Linked DNA regions of Drosophila melanogaster. The protein of the gene in region 2 purifies or fractionates together with the protein of the main gene of each other region. This does not show direct contact. Each region holds a gene or a part of one and is shown on either strand. Other genes may lie near its edges.

Region 1 (3,754 bases), on a different chromosome or scaffold from region 2:
CAAGAAATGTTATTCGATTTTAAAAAATCCGCAAAAAAGCTACTTTTTCTTTAACATTATAAAGTAATTGGTACAAGCAAACAATGACTAAACGATAAAATGTAATGTGCTGTATTAAAGGCCCTCCTAAAAAAAGACTTATGGAAGTCACTCCTGAAATACAACTACATCTAACTTAATGGTTGACGAAATGCAACGACCTTTACACCGTAAAAGCTAGGTATTGGATAAGAACAGTTCGTAAGTTTTTCGTGCTTTTCGGCTTCTGAAGGAATTGTAGATCCCCTACTTTTCCCACCATACATATATCCCACTTTATCATCCATGAGGGGAGTGAAATCTACATGGCCCATCTACACGACTCAGCTGTTTGGCAATCTGCAGATTAGATTAGTAGTGAAAACATCGTAAAAATGGAAACACTAAATACAGCGGAGGCACTGATAAGGGCGACCAAATCCCCCAGCACCACCCGTTGATAAATACTTTTCAAATCTTCACACCAACAAAATGGTGGATACATTGTGGGCAATTCCTTATAAAAGGTTATAGGAATTGGTTGGCTTAGTTTTGATAAGACAACATTTCGGTATGCCCTTTAAAATGAGATACATTTATTGATTAGTCAGTTTGCAACGAAACCAAAACAATTGATAAGAGTATCTTATAAGATGTCATAGTAAGTAATACCTTACTATCTATTAAAAATTGATAAACATATAGGTGCCACGGTCACTATTTGGTGTTATGATAACTTAATTTGATACATACGCGTTTATATAACCCATAATTAGTTAACTGGCTTTATCAAAAATGGAATGAAATTTTTCAATCAGAGTTGGATGCGTTGTGAAATAAGGTTGTAACCATAAGGTGCTCCTACAAAATTCCTAAGATGTTAGAAGAGTTCCTAAGTTGTCCTTCAAGGTAAAGCTCTCTCTTTTCGTCGTCACCTGCACTTATGTAAACTTACCACTGCTGCCAACGATCTGCGAGGAGTGTAACCATTTCCAAATTCCTGGCGCGTTTGCTGTTGTCCCGCAACAGAGGCCGCTCGCCGGCGGGGCGGCGGGCGTGGCACGTCGCCGCCGGCCACCGAGGAAGAAGACGACGGGACGGGAAGGGCCGCCGCGGCCACCAAGCCGCTGGAACGTGCCGACATTGTTGTGTTGTTGTTGTTTGTTTCTTTTAGAGAAGCTTCTGCAATGAAAGAATGACGGAAGGAGAGAGGGTGAATATGTGCAAAGCGGAAGTGCAAATTAAGCGATAAATGACACGAAGAAGAAGAAGAGGAGGCTGCCATAAGGTAACAAGAGGGGGAAGGGTGTACAGAAGCGAAGGAAAGAAAAGCGAACAGACAACAAAGACAGCAAACAAAGTGAACAACGGTACTTGTGCTAGATGCCATCTCTGTCTGCCGCCCTGCCCCCGTGCAAGCGTGTTTCTAGTGTGTGTGTTGTGTGAATGAGGTGTGGGTGATAGAGCACAAAAGCCAAACATTTTCTTGATAATTAGCCAGGCGCGAAGCCATGTCTTTGTAGACCATTTATGGTTAGCATAAAGTTTCGCCCAAGTTTTCCACTTACGTTTACACACGCACAAACACGGGCCACTATATTTTCGCCCGATTTATGTATATATTTTGCGGTGGTATGCGTGTGGGCTCGCCTTTATCCACTATTTGCGGAAAATCATCACGTACTTCTATCACACGGCAAATTCTACACTGCTCACTATTCAAGCGATTATCACTTTGACCGCTTCGGCGGCGCACATGCCTTAATCGCCGATATCGGTCGGCTATAGGTGCCTGTATATATGTCGCACGCGCAGTATTAAATAAAATTTAAACACCGGACGGGAAAAATGCACAAAACGGCGACAAAATCGAGAACAAAACTGCCAGAGTGACCGTGTACGCGCACTGAGAACATACCACAGCACCCAGAAGCCTTAACAGTTAAGGGAAGCACTTGTTAAATTCATAAAATGGCTCGCAGGCTTTTATTGAACCAAATATTTATCAAAATAAGGTGAAGTTTCCGTAAAGCATGAAATTTGTAGTTATTATAAATATGTATATTATTATAAATTTATTAAGTAAACTAATTTGCCACGCAGCTAGTTTGGGTATTGTTCGGTATTATCTGAACACCAACGAACGGCCACACGCAAGCAGTGAAAATCCCAATGAAACGAGAAATCCAATAAGTTTTAGCGTCAATGTGTTGCAACGGTTGGTGCATTTATTGATTAAAAGAGACAAAATACCGAACCCCTTGACCGCAGAGCCAAATAATTCAAAAACACCCGACTTTAAGCCACAAAACACTAGAATCAACGGCGGTGCAGCAGCAGGAAGAAGAGGAAGAGAGGTGCGTGGTGCGTAGTTAGTTAGTGGCGAAATTGCGTATTAGAAACGAAAACAACAAGCAGCTCTGCGCGGGCCAGCAAACATTTCGAACAACCATTAGCCAGGGCAGAACAAGCCGATCCAACGTGTTGTCGCATTCGCAAAGGGAGTATCGAAAACTGATTACATGGGTCCGACGGATCAAGACTGGATCGGCTGTGCAGTGTCTATAGCCTGCGACGAGGTCCTGGGCGTCTTCCAGGGCCTGATCAAGCAGATTTCTGCCGAGGAGATCACCATTGTGAGGGCTTTCCGCAATGGCGTGCCGCTGCGAAAGCAGAACGCCGAGGTGGTCCTCAAGTGCACGGACATTCGCAGCATCGATCTCATCGAGCCCGCAAAGCAAGATCTGGATGGGCACACGGCGCCGCCGCCAGTGGTCAACAAGCCCACGCCCGTCAAGCTGCCCCACTTCTCCAACATCCTGGGCAAGCAGCAGCAGCTCCAACTCCAGCAGCAGCAGCAGCAGCTACAACTCCAGCAGCAACAGAAACAGCAGTTCCAGGAGCAGGAACGAGAACAGGATCTGCCATCGACGCCGCGGTCAAGGGCCAACGACAATGGACGGGTAGCGGCTGGCGGAGCATCGAGTTCTTCGGGCCCACGTGGCAACTTCAATTCGGCGCTAAGCGATAAGATGCATCAGCTGAAGCTAATCGAGACCAACGGCTCAAATGGCACCCTTAGGTAATATGGCCCATTAAACGATTGTGCAATGCCAATAATTTAAATTAATTGTTAGCTCTTTATAAAAAAAAAAAGTATGAAGATTTTTGCAGTCAGCACGATTGTGTTTATTTCATTTCATTTTGAAGCCATCTTTATGTTTAAACTTACCAACCTTGAGATACGAAATGAGTAAATTACCTTTATTACTGATAAAAAGCAACAGTCGTTTCAGATAGGTCTTGTGCCAACTGAGCGTCGTATTTAAAATAGGTTTCATCTAACTTTTATATTTGTTTCGTCATCCAGAACACCACAAACATCCCGTGCGTCCAGCGCTCAGCAGCAGCCGCAGATATCAACGACTCCCAACAGCGTGGCCGCCTTTTTTGGCAACATGATACCGCCGAAGGTCGAGGTGAAACTGGGCTCCTACGTGAGCAACACCCGGGAGAGTTACTGCAGCAGCAGCGGAGATAGCGGCGAGGCAACTGGTTTGTCGTTGGGCAGCAGCAAACCCATAGATATCGTCAGCAACGGAGATGGATTTTACAAGCAGACGGCAGCCTCGAGCTATGGGAATACAAATGGAAATGTAAGAAGGAATGGCAATGCCAATAACAATGGAAATGGCACCGGAAATGGTTCTTATACCAATGGAAATGGCAACGGCAA
Region 2 (3,754 bases):
CAGTGCGTGGTGTCCTTCGAGGGATACGGCAAGAACCTGACCACGGTGGCCACGTCCGCGGCGGCGGGCAGGAGCCACGTCGACTTCAGCCTGTGGCTGTTTTGTTTTCTGTACTACCTGCTCTGCAAGCTGAAGGTATTGGCCTAAATAAAAGCGTTGTTATTTATTGTTACTAAATTAATGTTTATTGAATTCTGTTTGCCATTCAACTACCTTTTCTACGCCCCTTCGGCCTAGTTAACCATTTTGTAAATAAATACGAATACTTCACAAAACCAACTACGTTAGTTAACTCTTAAGGTTGCTCTGGAAATGGATGCCGTCCTTCTCCGGCGGGGCTTCTAGATTTTAAATCTACGACTGCCCTTGTCGGCTTACAGCTATTACATTTTGTAAATTAACTCGGCTTGAACTCGAACTCCATGCGAACAAATGAAAATATGGGCTGCAATTCGGAAATGTTGAATATTTCTGTTTATTGATATGTGGAGCTGGAGTCCAGCAGTAGATTGGAACAGCCGTTCAGGTAGGCCTTGTGCAGCTTGTTGGCAAACTCCTTATCGTTCTGGATAAGGTACGTGAAGGCCTGGACGAACTGCGTCGAGTTCAGCAGTGGCTGCTGTGGCTGCTGTGGCTGCTGTGGCTCCGGATTGCCGTTGTTGGGCGCGTCGAACATGGTGGGCGGCATGAGGGCCGGCCCGGGCTTGTCGCCAGCCAGCAGTCTCCGCAAGCACTTGCCGGCATCGTCGTTGGCCATCAGCGCCGACGAGGACGGGGCGACTGTCGGAGATTGAGCCGTAGCGTAGCTTTTACCGATCTTCAGGTCGCTCAGGAGCTGAATGTTAAGCTGCTGCATCTTCTGGAAGGGCGACAGCCGGCTCTCGTGATTGTCCCTGCCTGCCGGGGGCAACAGATCCTCGCCAGGCGTGGCTGCCCGCTGCTGTTTCTCCAGCTGGTCCACGGAGAGCGGCTGGACGCGGTGGAACAGTGACTCTGCCGTGGCCTGCTTGGCCGATTCGAAGAACTTCAACACATTGCCGGCCGTTACGTTCTCCGCCGAAGGCGTCTTCGGCTGCCCGCCGCTCACCTGGGCATTGTAGTCCTTCTGGGCCTTGGTCAGCATGTTGAATATGCTGGCCGGCTGGCTGCTGTCCTGCTTTGGCTGCTGGGGCGCGGAGACGTGACGCTGGGCCTGGCCATTCGTTCCCTGATCCTTGGACTTGAGCAGCCCGTTCACCAAGCCGCTGATGCGGTCGCACTCCTCGCTGTTGTAGAACCAGAAGCCGCGGATGCGCGAGCGCTCGTTGCGGTAGAGCAGGAACGGCGGCTGCGACTGCAGCTCCAGGCTGCCGGTGATGGGCTCCACGAAGGACGTGGTGTTCAGTCGGTTGTTGATGAAGATGCTGTGAAAGGGCTCCGCGTTGCGGTGGTATATGAAGAAGGCTCCCTCCACATCGGTCTTTTCCCACTCGTTCTGCGACGAGTTGAACGTGTAGAAGGCGACGTGCGAGGACGAATCCACGATCTCCTTGGCGTACGGGTCGATCTTCTTGATGGCCGCCAGGTTCATTCGCGTGATGCTCTCGTCGGCCATTGTAAATTGTATGTAATCTTCAGTTTTGGCTGTGCTATTGCGAATTGCAATTATTTGTGAATTTAACGGCGCTCTGGTCACACTGCCCCGTGGATGTTTTCCCGTGTTTATCAACGACTGTGCTGCGGTCACACCGAATGACAATAAACTCTTCCTTTTGTCTATTAATGATTTGTTTGAGAAATATTAAGTCGATTGACTTGCATATAAAAATGGCCACAATTGTACGTAATAATATTTCTCAATTATGTAGCATAAACATTTAATTTATGTTTACTAATAAAATTTTCAACTTCGATAGCATTTCCATTTCAATATATCGATACTGAAGACCAGCTCTAGAAACTGGCGGGAACTAATTGCATTGCAATTTGTATTTATTTGAACACAGAATTGCCACAAAATGCAAAAGTCTATAACGTAATTTACGATTTAACAAATGCTAAGTATTGCCAATCTAACAATCCCCCGTTTCAGCTCCTTCTTCAAGAAGAAATCCGATGCCACCGACAGCCCCTCGCCGCCCAAGAAAGTTCCTAAGTAAATGGTGCCGCTGTTTTCTTGTTTCATTACTAAATTCCTCGACAAATCATAGGATTGATGCGAAGACCGAACTCCCAGATGAACCCCACATCAAGAGCGAAAGTGCCTCCCCGGAAACTAAGCCCAAGGTAGAACCTATGTCTGTGGATTCCGAGGAGAAGACAAGTCCGGTGAAAAATGTTAAGAAGGAACCAAAGGAAGTCGATGACAAGACCACTGACAAGAAGGTCACAACCATAGGTCTCAACTCCACTGCCGCTACTAAGGAGGATGTGGAAAACTACGATCCATCCGCCGACTCCTATCATCCGCTCAAGAATGCCTACTGGAAGGACAAAAAGGTGTAAGTAGTGCAGGATTTTGAGCCTCCAAGGCGAATTATATCAAAGGAAACACTTTCCAGCACTCCCTACTTGGCACTGGCCCGCACATTTCAAGTAATCGAGGAGACCAAAGGCCGGCTCAAGATGATCGACACGCTGAGCAACTTCTTCTGCTCTGTGATGCTGGTCAGTCCGGAGGATCTTGTGCCCAGCGTCTACCTCAGCATCAACCAACTGGCGCCCGCCTACGAGGGACTGGAGCTGGGCGTTGCCGAGACCACCTTGATGAAGGCCATTTGCAAGGCAACGGGGCGTAATTTGGCTCACATTAAATCGCAGACGCAGCTAACCGGGGATCTGGGCATCGTGGCCGAGCAGTCGCGCGTTTCACAGCGCATGATGTTCCAGCCAGCGCCTCTGAATGTGAGGGATGTGTTCCGGAAGCTACGCGAAATAGCCAAGCTATCCGGTCAGTCGAAAATGGACCTGGTGTACAATATGTTTGTGGCCTGTCGATCGTCGGAGGCTCGCTTCTTTATCCGTTCATTGATTGGCAAGCTAAGAATTGGCATTGCAGAGCAGAGTTTGCTCACAGCGCTGGCCATTGGTTTGGTGAAAAAGAACCACATCGATGATTGCAAGGCTAGCAAGGTGCCGGATGTGTATAAGGATGAAATAGTCGACACCACTTTGCTGTTGAAAACTGCATACTGGTAAGAACTAACTTAAGAACCAGCTAATAATTCAGATGCTAACGAACTTTTGCAGTCAGTGTCCCAACTACGATATCATTATACCGGCCATTCTAAAGTACGATATTAAGGAGCTGCAGGAACGCTGCCCCATGCATCCCGGCATGCCGCTGAGGCCCATGCTCGCCCAGCCCACCAAGGGGGTCCATGAGGTATTTGAGAGATTCGGCGGCATGCAAATCACCTGCGAGTGGAAATACGATGGAGAGCGGGCCCAAATCCACCGCAACGAGAAGGGGGAGATCAGCATATTCTCGCGCAACTCCGAGAACAACACGGCAAAATATCCGGATTTGATTGCCAGGAGCACTGCCTTGCTCAAGGGCGACGTAAAGTCCTACATCATAGACAGCGAAATTGTGGCCTGGGATGTGGAGCGCAAGCAGATTCTGCCGTTTCAGGTGCTCAGCACGCGCAAACGGAAGAACGTTGATATCGAGGAAATCAAGGTCCAAGTCTGTGTCTACATCTTCGATCTGCTGTACATCAATGGCACTGCTCTGGTGACCAAAAACCTGTCGGAGCGTCGCAAGCTCCTGTTG
Region 3 (3,754 bases), on a different chromosome or scaffold from region 2:
TTGGAATTGGATCTCTATCGGTGTGTGGGCAGTAGACTGCCCGTAATCACACGGAACATGGAAGCACATGAGCTGGAACCATTTAGACGAACGGACAGCCTAAGCATCTTTCAAATTCCGGCTGCCGAAAAGGGTGATTCCTTGGTACGCCGCATCCTGGACATGTTGAATCCTCACCAGAGGCGCAAGCATATGCACAAGTATCTGTTTGTTTGGCCAAATGCCGGAAGGCATCAGTTACTGCGACTTTTTCGCGGCAGTTGGGCCAAGAAGCTGCTCTACGGATTGGCCATTACCGGCAGGGAAAATGGCACCTTTGACTTTGATCCCTTTGCTTGGGGTGGTCTCCAAGTGATTCAGCGGCTGGATGGCGAAGTGCCGTACGCAAGAAAGGTGAAGGACTTGCGCGGCTACCCATTGCGTTTCTCCATGTTTACGGATCCGTTGATGGCGATGCCCAGGAGTCCTGTGGAGACAGCTGGCTATCAGGCAGTGGATGGAGTGGCGGCCCGAGTTGTTGGCGAGATGTTGAATGCCTCAGTAACATATGTCTTCCCGGAGGATAACGAATCCTACGGTCGTTGCCTTCCGAATGGAAACTACACCGGCGTGGTCAGCGACATAGTCGGTGGTCACACCCACTTTGCACCCAATTCCCGCTTCGTGCTCGACTGCATTTGGCCAGCGGTTGAGGTGCTGTATCCCTATACCCGTCGCAACCTGCACCTGGTCGTGCCCGCCTCCGCAATCCAGCCGGAGTACCTGATCTTCGTGCGTGTCTTTCGGCGAACTGTGTGGTACTTGCTCTTGGTCACCCTTTTGGTTGTGGTGCTGGTCTTCTGGGTGATGCAACGTCTGCAGCGAAGAATTCCCCGTCGCGGAGTCATCCAGTTTCAGGCAACGTGGTATGAGATTCTCGAGATGTTCGGCAAGACACATGTGGGTGAACCGGCGGGCAGGCTATCCTCCTTCAGCTCGATGAGAACGTTCCTCATGGGTTGGATCCTCTTCAGCTACGTCCTGTCCACCATCTACTTTGCCAAACTGGAGTCCGGATTTGTGCGACCAAGCTACGAGGAGCAGGTGGACCGAGTGGACGATTTGGTACATTTGGATGTGCACATTTATGCGGTGACCACGATGTATGACGCAGTTAGGAGCGCCCTGACGGAGCACCAATACGGTCTGCTGGAGAACCGTAGTCGCCAGCTGCCACTGGGAATAGCCACATCCTATTACCAGCCGGTGGTCCGGCGCAGGGATCGACGAGCGGCCTTTATCATGCGGGATTTTCACGCCCGTGACTTTCTGGCCATCACCTATGACTCGCAGGCAGAGCGACCAGCCTACCACATCGCCCGGGAATATCTGCGCTCTATGATATGCACCTACATCCTACCAAGAGGATCGCCCTTTCTGCACCGCTTGGAATCTCTGTACAGTGGCTTCCTCGAGCACGGCTTCTTTGAGCACTGGCGTCAAATGGATCTGATCACCCGGGTTGGTGCGTCGCCGGATGCTGAGGAGTTTCTCGAGGATCTGGGCGACCAGACGGACACGGATTCCGGCTCCAACGAGTTGGCGATTCGTAACAAAAAGGTGGTTCTCACTCTGGACATCCTGCAGGGCGCCTTCTATCTCTGGTCCGTGGGGATTGGCATAAGCTGCTTGGGATTTGCAGTGGAGCACGCTCATTGGTTTTGGCGGAGACAGACACTTCGGAATGCGGTTGAAGCTAGAACAAGCTAACTAAAAATATTAAAAATTACTAAATAAAAGGTACATATATGTTTGTTATTGTAAATACTATACTAAGTTTTCAATAAATTTCACCGCTGTTTAGTTGGACATGTTGTTTTATACATTTTAATGATAAAACTGTAGTTTTATATTATTCTAACCATTTAATGAATTTAACCATTTATTCCAATTAACCTTTCTTGTAAATTTAAATGTAACGGCTTTTTATGTTGTTATGGCTTAACATTCCGCGCGTAACAGCACACTGGAGACCCCCAGTATCAGAGCATCGATAGCACCCATCGATAGTCCGATCACCAGCAACCCTGCCTCCGGCTGTCATGTTTCACTTCCGGAGCTTGCGAACAAAATAGAATCGCTAAGGCAAAGAAAACCCTGCGAGTGGCGAGTGTTTTAAGATCACACTCAAAAACAACATCCAAAGTGGTTAGTGGCAGTTGAGAGAGTGCCCAAGACCCCGAATACCAGCCGGGCAGACACGAACAACACCAGCAGCAGCAGCACCACCATCATCAACAGCAGCAGCAGCATTTCCCGCTTTTCGTTTTCGTCGTCGCCGAACAACAAATAACAAAACCACGACAAACGATGGCTGATGCCGCGGAGAGTAAGCCACTGGCCGCCGAACAGCAGCAGGCGCAGCAGCAGCCGGAGCAGCAGCAGAATCCGCCGAATCCGCAGGAGCAGGATCACGAGCAGGAGCCGCTGGACGAGCTGCAGGGACAGCAGGGCCAGCCCGCTCCGCCCACCAAGGAAGTCATCGGTAAGGCTGAAACTCGCATGTTAAACCCAATTCCCAACCAATTTCATTCATGTGCCGCGAACACATGGCGGCTGCTACCAAAATAGCAATGAAAAAAAGGAGGAAAAAAGAACAAGAAACATGCCTCCCTGTATGCGTGTGTGTGTGTGTGTTTTGAGTCTTAAAATATACGCGCGTCGGCCATTTTGTGCGGCCAAAGGCAACGCAACGCATGTATATATGTATGTGCACGAACGCTCGCGCCGCCGGCTAACCAAATTGAAAATTCTGCCTTTTGCCGGTCGTCTGTCTTTCCACCCACCCAACCACCAACCCCACCCGCTTCGCCTCTTTAAAAAATGCCCCCCCATAGGTGTACACACACACACACATACACACATGCAGAGCGAGCCAGGGCAACCCAATTTGTTAATGCGCGCGCAGCGGGAGTGCGAACGAGAGGGCAGACAGCCGGGTGTGGATGTGTGTGTTCATTGTTTTGGTACATCTATTTGCACACACACACTAAAACGCATGGAAGCATGGCTATAAGGCGATTTCAAAACACGAGACCATAATGCAACCAATAAGATACAATAATATTCGGCGACTATTACAATATATTGCCAAATAATTTGGGATGCCACTATATTTTCGCGTAAATCAACATATTATATGCATACTTATATGGTTTATTCGAAATTTTGGTAACCATAGTTTTAAATAATTGTTAACCAATAATTTGTGGTTATAAAACGTCTTTCAATGTTATTGCACGCTTCAATGAGTTTTCAAACTGCGTATTAGTTTAGTTTCAGATGTATTGCGTTTTGCCCCTCCTTTATAATAAAAAAAAAATGCAAAGTATTATCTCAAAACTACCCCTTTTGTATAATTTAAGTTTCTTATGTAGAATTATTTGTATTTTAGAAGTCAGCTCGCTGTGCATCCCTACTGTTCCCTAATATTTTTGTTGCATGTATAATGTTTAAAGGATTATAATATTTGATAAAGGAATGATTGCAACTGATCCCAAACAAGTATTATACCATTGAAATCAATTAAATGATCACACGTTTGTAGAATAAGTACCGCCAAAAATATTGAATCCCACTATTATCCCCAATTGTTTATAATTTCTACTCTTTCCCATTGCAGCCACCAAAGTCACCGGCACCGTCAAGTGGTTCAACGTGAAGAGCGGCTACGGCTTCATCAACCGCAACGACACCAGAGAGGATGTCTTTGTGC

Evidence for each region.
Region 1: the proteins of DCP1 (region 2) and Edc3 purify together in Drosophila melanogaster (affinity purification with western blotting; 3 studies listed by BioGRID). This does not show direct contact.
Region 3: the proteins of DCP1 (region 2) and yps purify together in Drosophila melanogaster (affinity purification with western blotting, with the first as the bait; one study listed by BioGRID). This does not show direct contact.

Annotation. Positions count from the first base shown.
Region 1 is NT_037436.4:17,528,255-17,532,008, reverse strand, and holds the start of Edc3 (enhancer of decapping 3), read left to right. Parts: upstream 1-2,147; 5' UTR 2,148-2,540; coding exon 2,541-3,100; intron 3,101-3,168; exon of another isoform or gene 3,169-3,309; intron 3,310-3,388; coding exon 3,389-3,754. Other genes in the region: Nedd4, read right to left, coding at 974-1,162. UniProt on the Drosophila melanogaster protein: In the process of mRNA degradation, may play a role in mRNA decapping.
Region 2 is NT_033778.4:23,888,599-23,892,352, forward strand, and holds DCP1 (decapping protein 1), read right to left. Parts: upstream 1,679-3,754; 5' UTR 1,595-1,678; coding exon 476-1,594; 3' UTR 166-475; downstream 1-165. Other genes in the region: CG5597 (uncharacterized protein), read left to right, coding at 1-147; DNAlig1 (DNA ligase 1), read left to right, coding at 1,998-2,014, 2,072-2,134, 2,190-2,480, 2,541-3,173, 3,229-3,754.
Region 3 is NT_037436.4:12,123,482-12,127,235, reverse strand, and holds the start of yps (ypsilon schachtel), read left to right. Parts: upstream 1-2,085; 5' UTR 2,086-2,349; coding exon 2,350-2,524; intron 2,525-3,661; coding exon 3,662-3,754. Other genes in the region: Ir68b (ionotropic receptor 68b), read left to right, coding at 1-1,749.